Linked DNA regions of Sus scrofa. The protein of the gene in region 3 binds, or shares a complex with, the protein of the main gene of each other region. Links are inferred from orthologs where the notes say so. Each region holds a gene or a part of one and is shown on either strand. Other genes may lie near its edges. The genes, in order: CHD5, MTA2, CDK2AP2 and MTA1.

Region 1 (4,629 bases), on a different chromosome or scaffold from region 3:
CCAGGAATGAATGAAGAGGAGTTTGGTTTGGGATGGGAAGAGGGAGTGAAGATTCTATACATCTTTCCAGCTCTCCCCGAGCCATCGTCACCTGCAGGGTACAGCTTGGACTCACTGGAGATTGCGTTGTGACCACCTCACCAAGCACCCACAACTCTCCTGGCTCCTCAAAGGCCCGAGGAGAGGAGCCCTCCTGGGGATGCCAGTGTCACGGGTCCTAGTGAATGCCCACCTGGACAGAGCAGGTGCTCAGCCAAGACCAGAGGGGTGGGTCCTAGAGAGGAGACCTCCTCCCAGCTTCTCTGGGCTTCCCGTCAGGTGGATACTGCCAGGGTCCCTGGTAACCAACAACCAGGTTTCCAGTGGGTCTCCCCCCAAGTGAGCCTGGCCCCAGGCTGTGAGGTGAGGGTGCCCTCCCCTTACTGGCTCTTCCAGGGTTAGAAAGCCAGCCATCCTCCCCACCACGGAAACTTTTGCGTTCTTAGAGTAGCTTTAAGACTGGCAGCAGCCAAGGCTGGCGGAGCTCATTTAGAATTCCAGTCTTGCTCCCGAGGGCTTTGGCTTCCATCTTCACCTTTAGCAACCGAGGGCTGGTGGCGTGGCTCCTTCCCGCTCCGCGACAGGTGTCGCTTCTGAGCGGGAGTGTTGGGCACGCGAACGCAGAGCCGCATCACCCACCGCCCGCGGGGGTCGGGCCTGGATAGGTTTAAAGCGGACCCCGCCTGGAGGGGCGTTTGGGAAGGGGGCACGTGGGCGGTGGGAGCGGGGTGCGATGGGTGGAGGGAGGAGCCAGCCTGCATGGATTTTTTTTCGGGAGGAATCAGACCCGCCGTCTGCAGCACGGCCCTTCACCATGTGCGGAACGCATTTTTCTTCTAATCCTTTTTGGAAAGGGGGTTAGAAGCGTTTTGCGGCTGGAGCTGCTGCAGGAGCCGAGGGTCTCGGTGCGTGTGAGCGGAGTACGACAGCCCGCTGCCTCGGGGACCGGGCCTCCGCGCCCCAGGGGACTCGGGGCCGAGCGCCTTTCCGGGCGGGGGCAGCGGCGGCATCGGGTCCCGCTAGGGGTGCGCGGGCTGGCGTTTCCCCGCCTCCCACTGGGCCCGGCCTGCCCGCCCGAGTCCCCGCTGCCCGCTCGGCCGTCGGGTCCCCGGGCGCGCGGGCGCCTCGACGGCTCCCCCTGCCGGAGGGCTCTGCCCCCACCCCGCACCCAGAGGCTCAGGACTAGTCCCCTCAACTTGTTCTCTGCTGTTAACTAGTCGCGCTGCCGGAACGATGGGATGGGGTTGCCACAGCAACCAGACTGGACGTCACAATCCGGGCATGTGTGCCGCCCCCCCGCCGTGCCTCCGTGCAGCCGGCGCTGCCGCCGCCACCTCGGCCGGCTGCGGGACTCGGGCTGCCGGGCGCGGTGGGCGGAGCAGCCCGGGCTTTGCGGGGAGCGGGGTGAAGGCGGCCGAGACGAAGGGGGTCGAGACGGGGGAGTGGAGGTTTGGGGGGTGGGGGGGCAGGCGGCCGCCATCTTCTCGCTGAGGCCGCCTCGCCCGCCGCGCGCGCCCGTCCGGCAGCGCACGGGTTAAGGCTGGCACCGCGCCCGGCGGGAGGGGGGGCGCCCACCTCCCCTCCCCCCGCGCCGGGCATGCGGGGCCCGCTGGGCACCGAGGAGGAGCTGCCGCGGCTGTTCGCGGACGAGATGGAGAACGAGGACGAGATGTCAGGTGAGCCGGGCACCGGCTGCGCCCGGGGCCGGGACTGCGGGGGGCGCGGGGTCCGCCGGGGCCCCGCGGCCGGACCTCGCGGGCGGCGCTGGCGGCGCGCGGGAGGGGGCGCTGGGCTGCGGGCTGCGCTCCCGCCCTGCTGGCGCCGCGCAGCCAAGGGCGCGGGGCTGGGCTATCGCCGGGGCGCGGCACGCGGGCCGCCAAGGGCGGGTGCGATCGGGGCCACCCGGGCCGCGGCGCGGGCAGAGGACCGCTGGGGGCCTCGCCGGGCGCCCGGAGAGGGGAGGGGGCGCGGCGCCGCGGGGGTCAGCCCGCGTGCCCTTGAAGGGGGCGGGAATCGCGCTCGGCGGCGGGTGCCGCGCACCCGGCGCTCCCGGCTCGCGCTGCGCACCCCTGACCTCGCGGGGCCTGGCGGGGGCTGGAGGGACCGGATACCCGGAGCCGGCCTCTCTCAGCCCTAGGGTCTCGGCCCCGGGGTCTCAGCCGCAGGGTGGGCTGGGTGGGGCCCGGAGCGGGCGGAGGACCGGGCGTGCTGGGCGAGCCGCGAGCGCCCTGGCTGCCCTCCAGGCCCACCAAGGCTCCGGGCTGGAGCGCGCGGGCTCGGACTCCCGCTCCCTGTTCCCCGGCCGCTGGGTGCCGCGAGTGCCGCTCCCAAGCACTTTGCCGGGGCCGCCGGCGTCGTCCTGGCGCGCCCTAGCGCCGGCCAGCGTCTCCAGCCCGCGGTCGCCCGGGTAGTGGCGTTCCCAGCCCACCGGGCTTTGGCTCCGGGCCTGACTCCTAGGGCCACCGCCCTGGCCCATCCCTCTCCAGAATTCAGCAGAAACAGGGCTCGTGCGTCGCCCTTGCAGGGCGATTCTTTAGTTAACTGCTCCCCATTTGTTCGGGACGTTTTCCCTCCCGGCGCAGCTGGGCAGGGCCTCACCCGGTCGGCCAGCCTTCCTCCTCCTCTTCCCGGGGACTGTTCGGTCTCAGCTTCCCGCACCCCGTCGGCGGCCCCTCCTGGGCTCCAGAGAGACTTGCGGGAGGCACGGGAGCCCGCCTTGGCCCCGGAAGGTGCCGTCTGGCCCCAGGAGCCCCTGCCCCCGAGGGGAGACCATTCTACAGACTGGCCCCTGGGCTCCGGGGTGCGGGAGGTGAGGGGGGAGGGCCCGCCTCGCAAGGGATTCCCGCCAGGTGGCCACGCCCACCGGAGGGCCTCCCCCACCCCCCTCCCCACTTGTTTGCGGGCTTTCATGCTGTGCCTGGGGCCTCACCCAGCCCGTTTGGACAGTTCGGCCAAGTTTGCAAAGAGCCTCCTGGAGCGAGGGGAGTGAGGAGGAGGTGGGCCCACGCTGCGTGGTCGCTTGGACAATAGTTGACCGTCGCTTCCTGGGGTCCGGGGAATTAGGCCCATTTTCCGGAAGGAAACACAGAGAGGGCCCAGGAGAAAATCCACGGCTGTTTTCTGCCCAGCAAGCCAGCTCCTCCGTAAGCCTGTTCACGGGCATCCTGGTGGTGCTTGGGGCGTGGCCCTTTGTGGCACCAGTGGGGGCAGTGGCCAGCTGAACATGGCTTATTTTCCAGACTTCTCTAGCTCCCTGATGGATCCCCTGTTTCCCTTCCCACCCACTCTGGCTCTCCTTGTTGTGCCCCAGGGCTCAGAGGATCTGGAGGGGAGGGGACCAGGGCAGATGTTCCAAGGCTGGCAGACACCCAACTCACTCTCTTTGGGCCAGAGGGGTTGGGCCTTGGTCAGGGTGCCCTGTCCTCCACCTTGTCTCCCTCCAGCTGGCACCCATGGCTCCAGGGCAGGGCCTGGGGGTAGGGTTGTCCCCAGGGCCTCTGGGACCGCTCTCAGAGCCCTGCAGAGCAGAGACCGAGGCCTGTCCTTCAGCAAGACCAGAGTGTGTCCTGAGCCTTCCGAGCTCCCAGCTCCTCTCCGCCTTGCCCCTGGTCTGAGCCACTGTCCCCTCCGGCTCGTCCATACCAGAGTCTCCCATCCTGTCCTCCCCGCCCAGGCTTCGCTCGGCAGTCAGGGTCACCTTGGTCCGCACAAGCCAGACCCAGACCCCCACGCTTGGACGGATCGCAGAGCGCTGCTCGAGCCCACCCTCTTCTCCGCCCCCACCTCCTGCTCACATCCTGGCTTCCTCGATGCTTCTGGAAGCTCCCAGGCTCCATCCTGCCCTGAGCACTGGCCGTGGCCTCGACAGGCTCTTTCCTCGGCTCATGACTGCTGCCTTCCTGCCATCGAGGTCCCAGCTCCTGGCTCAAGTGTCCGTCCCCCTCCCACCCACCCCCGTCATTCTTAGGCCCATTTTAATGCTTTGTTTTCTTGGCAGCACTTCCTACTCCCTGAAATATTATCATCAGCTGCCTTGTGACTGTCGGCTCCCCCCTCGAATGTGACTCCTTTGACCACCCAGTGTGCCCCCGCCTGGGGCCGTGGATGCTAGATAGAGGTTTGTGGCCCCATTGTCTGAGGCCTGGGAGTCCCTGGGTCCCCCTGGCCTTTGGACGTGATGACAGCCTCAGCCCGGACCTCGTGTCTCTCCTCAAGGGCTGGCCACCTGGCCCCCAGCCCTCCTCTGTGGCCCCTCTGCAGCCTCCGCCTGAGCTCATGGCCGTGGCCTGAAGGGACCTCCAGCTGGCAGGCCCCACACGTGGCAGTTTGCGGGTGGGGGAGCCAGTGTGCTGGGAGCTGTCACACTCAGTGTGAAATCTGCCACAGTGGATTCACTACTTGTCAGGTGGCTCTTTTCACTCGGCTCGCCCCCCCCCCACCACAGCTCAGCACTGTTCCCCTTTGCCCCCCCGCCAGGCGCGGCCCTGCCAACTCTCTGGCCGTGAGGCCGGTGAAAGGCAGAGTGGGTGCCTGCCTCTGGGGCTCAGGGCCCCTAGCTGCCACATTCTCCAGGGGATGTGGAGGGCAGGT
Region 2 (3,658 bases), about 4.1 Mb from region 3:
TGTGTTTTCTCCTTTTTCTATGTCCTTCTTCCAGGAGCCACACTCGAGAGGTCATTTGTCCAGACCTGAAGCCCAAAGTCTCTCTCCCTATACGACTAGCGCCAACCGGGCCAAGCTGCTGGCCAAGAACAGGCAAACATTCCTGCTCCAGACCACGAAGCTGACCCGTCTTGCCAGACGCATGTGCAGGGACCTGTTACAGCCGAGGAGGGCTGCCCGACGACCCTATGCCCCTATCAATGCCAATGCCATCAAGGCAGAGTGTAAGGGCAGCTTCAGGGTTTGTTCTGGCCGGAGGGCGTTCCTCTGGATATTTACTGACAGTAGGAATAGTGGCCCATAAGGATTTGTTGGGAACTTGGACACAGTTCCTGGCCCCAGAAGAGGCCTGAATAGTGAAGTCCCTTCAAAAGCTTTTGTCTTTGTTCTCCAGGCTCCATTCGACTTCCTAAGGCCGCCAAGACTCCACTGAAGATTCACCCTCTGGTGCGACTTCCCCTGGCAACTATTGTGAAAGATTTGGGTAAGGGATGGGGAACTGGACTGCGGTACAGGTGGTATAGGATGGGGAGGCTCTTAGGGTGGTGGCTGCCTTTCAGTCCTTTTATTATCAAGACCTATCTCTTCCCCTACGGCATATGGAGGTTCCCAGACTAGGGGTCTAATCAGAGCTATAGCTGCCGGCCGATGCCGCAGCCACAGCAACGCGGGATCCGAGCTGCGTCTGCGACCCACACCACAGCTCACGGCAACGCCGGATCCTTAACCTACTGAGCAAGGCCAGGGATCGAACCTATGTCCTCATGGATGTTAGTCGGGCTCTTTACTGCTGAGCCACAATGAGAACTCCTGAAGTGTTTTTTTTTTTTTTTTTCATGGAGTTTCCTGGCGGGTCACTGGCATTGTCACTGCTGTGGCTCTGGTCACTGCTTTGGCTTGGGTTTGATACCTGTATTGAGAATTTCTTTTTTTTTTTTTTTTTTTTTTTTTTTGTTGTTGTTGTTGTTGTTGCTATTTCTTGGGCCACTCCCACGGCATATGGAGGTTCCCAGGCTAGGGGTTGAATCGGAGCTGTAGCCACCGGCCTACACCAGAGCCACAGCAACGCGGGATCCGAGCCGCGTCTGCGACCTACACCACAGCCCACGGCAACGCTGGATCGTTAACCCACTGAGCAAGGGCAGGGACCGAACCCGCAACCTCATGGTTCCTAGTCGGATTCGTTAACCACTGCGCCACGACGGGAACTCCCTGTATTGAGAATTTCTAAATGCCATGGGTGCATCCAAAAAAAAAAAAGTTTTTATCATAAGCTATTCAGTAAACTGTGCACTGATTGATAAGATCACACTCATGTTTGACTTTTGAAATGCTGGTAATCGCTTGCCAGCCCCCTCCCCCATCACTCCTTTTAGGAATGCCCAGGGAAGATGCATAGAAAAGAGGGAGTGTGAAAGTTCTCTCAGGTTTCCTTTATTTATCTATTTGTTTTTCCCTGACAGTGGCCCAGGCACCTCTGAAACCAAAAACACCTCGGGGTACCAAGACACCAATCAATAGGAACCAGCTGACCCAGAATCGGGGGCTGGGGAGCATTATGGTGAAACGGGCCTATGAGACTGTGAGTTGACAGACTGGAGTGGGTCACGTTGAGTTAGATGGGTGTTTATTTCTGATGGGCGTCTGAGAGTCCCCCTTCTCATTACGCTGCCCTACCCTTTTCCAGATGGCAGGAGTCCCCTTCTCTGCCAATGGAAGGCCTCTGGCTTCAGGGATTCGCTCAAGCTCACAGCCAGCAACCAAGCGTCAGAAACTAAACCCAGCTGACGCCCCCAATCCTGTGGTGTTTGTGGCCACAAAAGACACCAGGTGGGGAGCCCAGCATGGGAGGGGCTGAGAGGTTGACCACCCAGCCTGGTGGGTGTGGGAAATAGGAGTATCTGAGCAAGACCAACTCCAGGGAGACCCTGGCTGCAGGGTGGCCGTGCTAGGAAGGAAGGGGCTGGAGATGGGGGATTGCAGTGTGGAATGTGGGGTTTCAGCCTGAAGGTCTTTGCCTTCTCCCTTGTCCCCCTTTCCTTCCTGACCAGAGCCCTGCGGAAGGCTCTGACCCACCTGGAGATGCGGCGAGCTGCCCGCCGGCCCAACTTGCCTCTGAAGGTGAAGCCACCGCTGATTACAGTGCGGGCTCCAGTCTCTCTTCCTCCATCCGCACATCCTGCCAGCACCAATGAGCCCATTGTCCTGGAAGACTGAGCATCTGTGGGGCAGGGAGGAGGGCTGAAAGCTAGAGGGTGGGTGCACCGGGCACCTAGCCTCCCTTCCCTCTAGTGTCAAAGGGAATGAGGAGTGCGGGAGGGAGGGAGCAAGTGAGTGTGTCCTTGGAGGGGATGGGCGCCCTCTGGTGTTACTACTTGGAGGCTTGTCCCCTTCCGGTGCTTCTCCATGCCTGGTGATGGAGGGCAAACTGCAGGAACTTGGCCCATTGTGGGAACCTAGCCTGTTTTGGGGGTAGGGCCCACAGTTGTCTTGGATAGTTTTTGGGGGGAGGGTTTTTTAATTTTTTAAAAATTTTGCCTCCCTTTGTGAAAGGGGATGGGAGAGGGGAAGAGTAAGCAGATATCAGGTGGTATCTGGTTGGGGGAGGGGGGCGTGCACTGCCATTACTGCCATGTCTATCTTTTTTTTCTCCTTTTTTCTAACTGGGGGTTCCTCTTCCTGTCCGGTGTCCGGACTTTCCCAATCGGAGTTTGAGGCCCCTAAGCTGGTATCAACCCCAGCCTATGCTCGCTCTTTCCTTCCCTCTCCTTGCCCCCTCTGCCTTTTGTACGCCAATTCTCAGAAATAAAGATCTTTTGTCCGTTTTTTTAACCTCGGATTCTGTAATTGGTTCTTATAGTAACAAATAAAAAGCTGTTTTCTTCAGCTCCTCCTGGCTCAGCTATTCTCTGCTGTGTGTGTGTGTGTGTGTGTGTGTGTGTGTGTGTGTGTGTGTGGTATCTTTGGGAAAATAAAGGACAAAGGACAATAGAGGAGGTATAGATGGGGGCTTGCCTGGGGTAGAGCTTTATGAGATACACAGCCTGGGACAGGTGGCCTGTTCCATCTTGCTTTCCTGTGGGACCCACACTGCTCCCCAGCTCTCTGTGGTACTGGAGCCAGAGTATCATCTTGGCTGAGATTCACTCAAACCCGTTGAGATGAGCTGGTTCTCAGAATGACTGGTGGCTTCCATAGGAGTGTGAGTGTGTGAAGGTGCTTCTTTATTTCCCAACTTTTAAACTCCTCTCTCCCTTTTACTTGGGGAATTCTGGGAGTTGCGAGGTTGGAGCAAGATGTAGTCCACCTCGGGGGGTGATGTAGGGTCATACCACCTAATGCTGGTGTATTCGCACAGACTGCTGTTGCAAGATCTCCAAGGCCAGCAACTGCTTTGATATTGGGGTCCACTCTAGTGCCATTTCCTCCCTTTTTAGGTTTGGGAGACAGATGAGACGCCTGAGCTAGTCCCGACAGGAGGAGCACCTCAGGAGAGAGAACAACAAATTAAATCTATTGTGTGCTCCTTGAGCACTTTCTTTAGAGATGAGAAACAACCTCAGCATTTGTGACTTGCTCAAGGCTAAAGACCTGGAGATGTTTACCTTAGGTCCTCTTT
Region 3 (4,451 bases):
ACCCCTAGTCCGGGAACTTCTATATGCCGTGAGTGTGGCCGTAAAAAGAAAGAAAAAAATATTTCTGTATGTAACCAACTGTATTTATGTCAAGCTAAACATGAGCTCCTATTGAGAGCTCCAACTCCAATCCATTAGCCCATGGACTATTCTAACCTCCTTCCCTTGCTACCTGTAACTCCTCATTCCAACAGTGAGAAGCCATTCGTTCTACACTTATTTAATTTTGAATTCCAGTGTACGTGTGCAGTGGTTTCAGAATTGTCAACCCATCCCCCATGGGAAACCGCGTCATCAACCAGGGTCCAGTGCTTACGTGCAGATCTTTTTGTCTTTGTTCCTCCAGACTCCACTGATTTCCAGATTAGCACCTGATTCCCCCACCCCCTTCAGTGAGGCTGTTCCTACATTTGCAATACAGCTAGATTCTTTTGTCATATTCTGCTTTCCACCCTCGGATCGCCTGACCTTCTAAATGAAAAAGTTTACTCTTTGGTAACTGTCAAGGTCTTGCATGTACCATTACAGCATCATACATAATCACTTCATGCCCCCCCATCCCCTCTGCTCCCCCTGTTCAATTTTACCCCTCCCCCCTCTACCCAGCACCCCCTCACCCCAGCACCCTTGGCAACCAGTCATTTTTTTTACCTTCTGTATCAATTTGCCTTTTGCGGAATGCCGTACATTTGGGATCATACAGTATGTGGCTTTTTCAGACTGGCTTCTCAGCACTGTGTCTATATCTTTTCAAGGCTATAGATAGATGATTTCCTTTTATTGCTGAATAATAGTTGATTGTATGGCGACTGCTCAGTTTATCTGTCCATTCACCTGTTGAGTGGTGCCTCTCTGGGAAAACTTCTGTGATGTCACACTTCCCCTAAGTTCCAATGCTCCCTGTCCCAGTCTCCACATTGCCTTAGTCCATTGTGTGCTTTTGCTTCCCTGTCTGTCTCTCCTTGAGACTAGGAGCTCCTGGAGGACAGAAGCCATGGCCAGTTCACTTCCATATCAGTGTCCAGCATAAAGCCGAAGATGGGGGATGGAATCAAAATGTTTGCTGAATGAACGAATGAATGAATGTCCTGGACATGACCGGTACACAAAGCCAGAGAGGTTTTGAGAAGTAGCCTGGGAAAAAAGGGTTACGGTTTGGAGGAGAGTCTAAGATCTCAGGTTGTGAGGAATGAGATTTGAGGAGAGGGGTCTGGATAGAGAAATGGATAGGGAAGAGGAGAATGAAACATAAGCATTTTATGACTATTCGTTTAATCCACACAACAATCCTAGGAGATGGTTGTTCCTAGCGTCCCCATTTCACAGATGAGGAAGTTGAGGCCTAGGGAGGTAACTTGCCCAAGGGCAAGTGGGGGTGGGGGCTGAGGGTGCGATTAGACCCATCAGTCTGACCCCAGATGCTGCTGTAGTCCCTGATCCAGGACCGTCCGTGGTACAGAACCCGGGATGCCGTAAGTATTTAAGATTAGCTGTTCCCGCTATTATCATTATGGGGCACCGGCGTGGGGCCTTGGGGGAGGAGGGCAGGTTGAGGTCCAGGTAGTTGGAAGAGGGGCAGGACCCGAGGTCCAGGCAATTGCGAGGAAGAGGCGTGTCAGCAGCATTGGTGAGGGGTCCGTTGCCATGGGAACAAACGAGGCCCTAAGAGGGCGCATGCGCGGGTCGGGGACAGGTTGTTGAACCGGTGAAAGGTGACGTAAAAGCGCACGGGGTGGGGCGCAGGGCTGGGAACGTCAAAGCCCTGCGTCCTCCCGCACTCGGAGCGGCGGAAAGGCGCGCGCGCGCGCGCGGCAGCGGCGGCGACGGCGGCGACGACAGCAGCCCCAGCTGAACCGGGACGGCAGCGGAAAGGTGACGTACAAAGCAACGTGAGTGAGGCGTGAGGACGACAACCGCGCCCGGGAAGCCCCGCCGGGCTCGAACCGCGGCGGACCGGACCCAGGTCCGGCTTCCGAGGCTCCGCCTCTCGCGTTTTGGGACTAATCGGATTGAGAGCGCGCCGGCCCGGGCCGCGAACTCGCCAATTGCGGAGGGCATCGACCACTACCCAATCCGGAGCAGACAGGTGCGAGGTCCGGAAGGCGGAGACCAATCAGAAGCGGTTGCGGCCTGTTGGGGCCGGCCTCGGCCAATGACAAGGCCCGAGTGACGTCTTCGCGCACCAATCAGGAGTGAAGGAGCCTTCGTGCCCGCCCGCCCTTCCGGCCTGAGCTCTATTTACCAGGGGCGTGCTGCCGGCTTGCCAATCAGAGCGCAGCTAAGCGGCCAGGCAGCCAACCCGGGAGGAGCGGCCGGCCGGCGTCTGCCGCACCCAGGAGTTGGGGATGTCCTACAAACCCATCGCCCCCGCCCCCAGCAGCACCCCGGGCTCCAGCACCCCTGGGCCCGGCACCCCGGTCCCTACAGGTGAGGATCCAGCTCCACCCCTGCTCGCCTGTCCGGGCGGTGGAGGTCTCGAAGAGAGGACGGCCTGAGTTCTGCAGTAGTGGGCCTGCCGGCTACCCTCGCTGAGCCTCAGTTTACTGGCCTGTGATGTGGGCGTGGTCACGTAGGGCTTGTTGGTGAAGCACAGGGGGAGGGGTTTGTCCTGAAGTTTAGCAGCGTGAAGCCAAGCATCCCTTTGGAGGTAATCGGGCGAATCTGGTCCGGGGCTTGGAGCGCCGGGACGAGGCGTCCCTACCCCGCGCTGACCTCTCACTCGCGCCTGTTGCAGCTGGAAGTGTCCCATCGCCGTCGGGCTCGGTGCCGGGAGCTGCTGCTCCTTTCAGACCTCTGTTTAACGACTTTGGACCGCCCTCCATGGGCTATGTGCAGGTGAGTGGAGCCTAGGATCTTCCATAGGATTGCCTGTGGAGGAGGACTGGAGCCCCCCTCTTGGCCTGAGCTCACTGCCGTGTTCTCCTTTGACACAGGCAATGAAACCACCTGGCGCCCAGGGCTCCCAGAGCACTTACACGGACCTGCTGTCGGTCATAGAGGAGATGGGCAAAGAGATCCGACCCACCTATGCTGGCAGCAAGAGTGCCATGGAGCGCCTGAAGAGAGGTGAGTGAGGCCAGGCCCACCACCCCTGCCCAGGAGACTTAACACTGGGAAGGAAAGACAGGTGGAGGCCACCTGAGCCAAGCGTAGACTAGGGCCAGTATCACTGTCCACAGAGGCATTTTGCAGTGAATTGCAGCCGAGTCCGTTTCCAGGGAAGGTCCAGAGAATTTGTATTTCACCGGGGCAAATTTGAGCATTAACCGAACCTCTGATCTCATCCAGGCCCCCATTAGGTCATAGTCCCTTTCACTGAAAGGAAAGGGGAGTAGGGAGGGAGGGGGGTCTTCCTCTGGAGGGGGGTGTGGGGCTATGGAGGGTCACTGAGGCCTCATCTGTTCCTTTCCCATCCTCACCCCAGGCATCATCCATGCCCGGGCCCTAGTCAGAGAGTGCCTGGCAGAGACAGAGCGGAACGCCCGCACGTAACAGGACTCGACTCCTCCTCGGCGTCTGGACCTTTCCTGGCCACTGCAGAGCACCTGCTTCTCCCTGGCCTTCACCCCGAGTTGCACTTCCCATCCTGGGCTTCCTGTCCTGTGTCCTTTGGTGGGTGCCCTCCAGGAACCAGTGGGCGGCTCTCACTCCAGTCGGCAGCAGTAACTGGAACCCCCAAAAGAGGGAGCAGTGAGGTCCCTGGGAGTCCCACCCATGACCTGCCAACAGTGTTGATCCAGCTGGGGCTTTCTCCTTTCTGTGGCCCCACCGCTCAGCACTTACCCAGGACTTACCGTTTTCCCAGACCCCTTCTCCCCCCAGCAGAGCCTCAGAAGGCCTGTCGCCTCCCTGCCTCGTCTCCTAGGCCATAACTCTTTTCTCGGTGTGTCTTTTGCTAAATATGCCCTTTTTGTATAAATAAAAGATAATTTGGAGTTGTTCTCTCAGCTTGTAGTCTTTATGAGTCTGCTGCGTCTAGTAAGTCTGGGTGGGCCAGGAAGGAGGGCAAAGAGGAGACTCGGGGTGGTGCACTGGGTGGGAGAGAGGTCCACTGAGCCCAGCTTTGCCTTGCCTCCACTGTCCATTGACCTTGGTGGGACCCTGCCCTTGTCTGCCGCTGCCCCCTGCCTCTTCCACCTGTAAGTAGTAGAGAGGGTTGAGCTCCAGTGGCTGAAAGCCCTGCCCTCCTTCACAGTCATGCCACCAGGGGGCAGCGCAGGGCCTTGGCTGCCTCCACAGCTGAGGGCACTGCCTCCAGCCTGAGCCTAGAGGGTTCTTCCTCTGAATTAGCTGGTAATGGTGAGGCCCGGCAGGATGGAAGTGCCCTTTCACTTAAGCCATGCCCTCACATGCCTTAATGCCCTAAGGTCCTAAACTCCAAATCCGCCCTGGAGGCTCTGAATACACCCCACCTCAGCCCCCAGAGGGGAAGGGCACTGCTGCTTTCCAAC
Region 4 (4,345 bases), on a different chromosome or scaffold from region 3:
GACGCCTGCTCGAGGCCCCCCTGCCCTCAGGGCACGGACCCCAGAGGAGCCGGGCCGTGGCTGACCCCGCCGTACACACCGAGACCTCGCCTGCCACCCTTGCGGCCACAGCTGCCACTGCCGACAGAAGGCCTCTGTCCAGGCCAGGTCACTTCCCAGGGACGAAGCAGGCCCTGCCCCTCCCAGGCCGACCCAATCGGCCCAGGCGGTCAGCTGGCCCAAAGCTGCAGCCAGGCCTTCACCCCGCCCGACTCCTGGCAGGGCCTTGGGACAGCCTGCCAGGTGGGACACGCAGGACTCCCAAGTGACGCGGGACTCTGCGAGCAACTTCTCATGTAAGTGTGGCCCACACAGTATTCGGGACACACGTATGCTAAGAAACTGTTTATCTGAAATTCAAATTTAACAGGCGTCCTGTGCTTCTCCCTGCTGAAGCCGGCACCTTCGGCAAAGGCTCTGCTCTCCGGGTCTTTAGTGGAGGAGACCCCGGAGGCGGGCGGGGGCAGGCCCCCGGCCAGGGCAGGACGCCTCCATCTGGACCCTGAGACACCCAGACACGGACCCCCGCGCAGCAGCAGCACCTCGGGACAGCAGCCCAGCCGGCCCGCACCAGGCCGGCCGAGCCCACGGCCCAGTGGACAGGGGCAAACGAGGCTTCCCTGCAGGGACCGAAGGGGTCCAAGTGGAAGCAGCCCCACCCATGGGCTACACCACAGGACCCCTGTTTACACCAAGGGAGGGGGGTTGCCAAGAGGAGGGTGACAGAAGTCCAAGTCCAGGGGCACCCCGGCCCTTGGAACCAGTCGCGACAAGCAGGCACGGGGCGGGGGGCCTGGGAGGGAGAGGCAGAGGAGGCCACGGAGGGCCTCTGGGTGACACCCAAGCCTCCCTCTCCAGCCTCGGTGTCTGCGGCCGGCCGGGAGCTGGGCGCCCCTGCCCTGGGAACACTCCATTTACTGAACACGCTGAGCAAGACTTCAGGGCCACAGCCTGGGGTGGGAGGTGAGCCCACACCTGCAGAGAGGCTCTGCGTGGGGAAAGCCAAGGGGCACCGAGTGGGCGGGGGGACGGCCAGACCAGAGGAGGGCCTTGGGCTGGGCAGGAGGGGGTCTGCGCTGAGGAAAGGCGTTCCAGGAGGGCGAGGGGGTGGCACTGAAAGGGGGCAGCTGCGAGGCGGGCAGGAGCCCTGGGCTGCAGCAGCTGGGCTAGGGGCCAACGGACGGAGAAAGCGACTCCGTCCGTGGGGTTCCACGGGGGGCCACCCAGCCTGGCAGTGTATTGAGAGACCCCGGGGGCCTCCCTCCACAGATCGGCTCCCCCCCGGACTGGAGAAGTTGGGAAACCAACAGGCCCCTCTCTGAAGGCCCCCGCCCCCTAGCCTGCTCTCCCCCCGCCACCGCCGTGTCCACCAGGGGCCTGCTGCCGAATGGGGTAAGGGCCCCCATTTCCGTGACACCTCTGAGCCAGAGAGGAGGGAGGGCTGGACAGCGGGGCGGGTGCGCCCAAGGTCACAAGGTTGGCCTGGCACTCGGGGGTCAGCCGGCCAGCGAGAGAGGGTAGACTGAAGACACAGGTGACTTGGAAAGCCAGGCCAGAGCTGTCCTCAGCCCTGACCAAAGGGGGGCAAGTGGGCGGCTCAAAGTCTCCGAGAGGGTGGGCATCTCACCACCTGTGAAGGACCAGATGAGGCCAGCTCGGGACCCCGTGGGGACCCGTAGCACGAGCCTCCTAGAGCCCCCTCCCCACAAAGTGGGGCAAAGCCCAAAGCTGGAGGCTTCCTGGGGCTTGAGTGGGAGAAGCAACAGCCCCAGGAAGGAAGCCCCCACCCCGGATCTCAGCTAGCTCTGCACCCCCTAACCAGGGGGCCACCTGCCTCTTTCCCAAATGCAAAGCACCTCCCTGCTGGGCCGCAGAAACAGGAGACAGCAGAGAAAAGATCAGGGTGCCAGCAGCACGCTGGGGGGAGCACAGGCCGCTGAGGACCTGGAGAGGGAATCCTGCCGGGGAAGCCCCCAGGCCCACGCCGGCCCAGAGGGCAGCTCCCAGGTGACCGCAGGCTCGCGGCGGGAACGCGGCCGCCACATACAGCTCCCCACCCCCCGAGGGGACCACTGCCCCCCGCCCCCAGCAGCTGAACCAGCCCTCGGCGCCGCCGCGGGGGTGCTCTCCACACCACAAGGGCCCCAAACTCCCACTCCCAGGAGCCGCCAGCACCTCCCAATGCCACGTGCTCCTGCTCCCGAGTTGGGGGGATCCCGCCAGGCGCCCCAGCCCCAAAGGATGCTCTGCGACTCCCAGAGCTCCTCAGCCCCACGCTCAGCCCCCAACAGGTGGGCAGAGCCCCCGCCTGGCCGCTGCCGGCCCAGCCACTACCCCCCACCGGCTCCAGGAGGGGCCGGGCCAAGGGGCCAAGTCGGGTGGCGACGAGCACGGCCAGGGCAGAGGTGGTGGTGGAGGAGCCGGCTGCTCAGAAAAGATGGAGCGGGAAGGGGAAGGAGACAGGGGCGGGGGGGGGGGCGCAGCAGAGGAGTGGGCGCCGCGGGCAGGAGGGAGGGTGGCCCAGGCAGGCGGCCTGCAGTGGGGGAGGGGTGCAGAGGTGGAGGGAGGGGACCAGAAGTGGGCCGATGGGGGGGCGATGGGGAGGCGGGCGGAGGGGGAGGGGGGAAGCGGAACGGGGGGAGGGGCGGGACAAGATGGGGGACCCGGGCAGGGGGTGCCGAGGGGGCGCGCGCGGGGGGAAGGGGGCGGCGGACGGCGAGGCCCGGGGCGCCGACCGGGGCCTGAGGCGCGGCGGGGCGGCGCGATGGGGGGCCCGGCGGGGACGCGGGTGGCGGGGCCGGGGCCCGCGGCGCCTCGCGGCGGCGGCGGCGGGCGGGCGGCGGCCTTACCTCCGACCCTGTACATGTTGGCGGCCATGTCCGGCGGCGGCGGCGGAGGCCGCGGGCTGGGCCGGGCTGGGCGCTGGGCTCGGCGCGGGCGGCCTGGAAAATGGAGGCGCGCGGGCGCGGGGCGCGGGGGCGCGGGCGGGCGGGCGGTTTAAAGGGGCCGCGCTGCCGCCGCCGCCGCCGCCGCCGCCGCTGCCGCCGCCGCCGCCGCCGCCGCCGCCGCCGCCGCCGAGGCCGCCGAGGCCGCCGAGGCCGCGCAGGGACCGAGGGCCGCGGCGCGGGCGGGAGAGGAAGAGGAGGAGCGGCCGCGGGGAGGGAGGGGCCTCGGGCGCCACCGCCCACCGCGCGGGCCGTTACCCGCCCCGCGGCCGCGCGCTCCCCGCCGCCTCCCGCGCCCCCGCCCCGCCCCGCCCGCACCCCGGGCCCCGGGCCGCAGCGGCCCATCGGCCCTCCGCCCCGGGTCCGCCCTGGCCCCCCCCCGCCCCCCGCCCGGCCCTTTCCGCGCAGCCTCCCGCCCGAGGGCGCCCTCCGAGTCCGCGCGTTCGCAGGCGCTCGGCCGCCCGCCGCTCCGTGGGCGGCCCGGGCCCTCCGGCCCCGGCCCTCGGCGCCCCGCCCGCACGGCCCCCGGCACACAGTTGCGGGCCGCTTTCCCCCACCTCTCAGCTGGCACGGCCCCCCTGACGGTGCCCGAGGGAGGAGGGGTGGGCGTGCCCGGAGGAGGCCGCCCTCCGGAAGGCGCCCCCCGCCCCCGGGGGGGCCCCCCCCCGCAGGCACAGCCCAGACCAGGGGGTGCAGGGAGGCGCGGGGGCCGCGGGAGCGAGCGAGGCTCCCGCCTGTCCTCCCAGCCCCGCGTGTGAGCTGGGCGCCTGAGGTCCAGGACGGCCCGGACGCTGCCCGGGGAGGCGGGTGGGGAGGCTGCTGGGCGGAGGGGATGGAGCCCCGCACGGAGAGAAGCAAGGGGCCGGGTCCAGGATCAACCTGACTGCCAGGGGGCTGCAAAGGAGGAGCCAGCCCTGTGGGACCTGGAGGGGCTGGGGCTCCAGAGGCCCCAGGGCTGACCGCCTGCCAGGAAAGGCAGAGGAGCAGGGGCTAGGTGCTGCTGACATGTAGGCCGTCCCCCAAGTGTCGCGAGGTGCGATGGTCTCCCTCGCTCCCCGCAGGCCTGGTCCCTGCCTCCGGGGCCTGCATCTCCTCATCTGGACGGCGAAGCTGCAGCACTACCTAACAGGTGGACCAAAACTTAATCAGAACCCCCAATAAATACATGCCCAGGCAGCTGCTGGTCACAGAGAGTGCCCACAACGTCCTGCCTGTAAAGTGCCTGCTCCTGCCTCCCTTCTGGAAATAAGACAGCCCCTGGAGAGCAGAGGCAGCTGAAAGGTGGGGGCCGTTTTCCTCCCGGCGCGGGTGCTGGCAGGTGAGTGGCAGTCGGAAGCCATTGGAATTGCACGACTCCCCCA

Evidence for each region.
Region 1: CDK2AP2 (region 3) and CHD5 share a complex: the UniProt entries of both Homo sapiens proteins name them as parts of the nucleosome remodeling and deacetylase (NuRD) repressor complex. The link is inferred for Sus scrofa from reciprocal best matches to the Homo sapiens genes CDK2AP2 and CHD5.
Region 2: CDK2AP2 (region 3) and MTA2 share a complex: the UniProt entries of both Homo sapiens proteins name them as parts of the nucleosome remodeling and deacetylase (NuRD) repressor complex. The link is inferred for Sus scrofa from reciprocal best matches to the Homo sapiens genes CDK2AP2 and MTA2.
Region 4: CDK2AP2 (region 3) and MTA1 share a complex: the UniProt entries of both Homo sapiens proteins name them as parts of the nucleosome remodeling and deacetylase (NuRD) repressor complex. The link is inferred for Sus scrofa from reciprocal best matches to the Homo sapiens genes CDK2AP2 and MTA1.

What each region holds. Positions count from the first base shown.
Region 1 is NC_010448.4:67,083,571-67,088,199, reverse strand, and holds the start of CHD5 (chromodomain-helicase-DNA-binding protein 5), read left to right. Parts: upstream 1-1,514; 5' UTR 1,515-1,636; coding exon 1,637-1,715; intron 1,716-4,629. UniProt on the Homo sapiens protein: ATP-dependent chromatin-remodeling factor that binds DNA through histones and regulates gene transcription. May specifically recognize and bind trimethylated 'Lys-27' (H3K27me3) and non-methylated 'Lys-4' of histone H3.
Region 2 is NC_010444.4:9,144,038-9,147,695, forward strand, and holds the end of MTA2 (metastasis-associated protein MTA2), read left to right. Parts: intron 1-34; coding exon 35-263; intron 264-433; coding exon 434-523; intron 524-1,502; coding exon 1,503-1,621; intron 1,622-1,726; coding exon 1,727-1,869; intron 1,870-2,090; coding exon 2,091-2,256; 3' UTR 2,257-2,929; downstream 2,930-3,658. UniProt on the Homo sapiens protein: May function as a transcriptional coregulator. Acts as a component of the histone deacetylase NuRD complex which participates in the remodeling of chromatin.
Region 3 is NC_010444.4:5,023,820-5,028,270, forward strand, and holds CDK2AP2 (cyclin-dependent kinase 2-associated protein 2), read left to right. Parts: upstream 1-1,436; 5' UTR 1,437-2,345; coding exon 2,346-2,427; exon of another isoform or gene 2,428-2,647; intron 2,648-2,734; coding exon 2,735-2,835; intron 2,836-2,933; coding exon 2,934-3,066; intron 3,067-3,424; coding exon 3,425-3,492; 3' UTR 3,493-3,947; downstream 3,948-4,451. UniProt on the Homo sapiens protein: Acts as a component of the histone deacetylase NuRD complex which participates in the remodeling of chromatin.
Region 4 is NW_018084979.1:3,459,692-3,464,036, reverse strand, and holds the start of MTA1 (metastasis-associated protein MTA1), read right to left. Parts: upstream 2,997-4,345; 5' UTR 2,917-2,996; coding exon 2,889-2,916; intron 1-2,888. UniProt on the Homo sapiens protein: Transcriptional coregulator which can act as both a transcriptional corepressor and coactivator. Acts as a component of the histone deacetylase NuRD complex which participates in the remodeling of chromatin.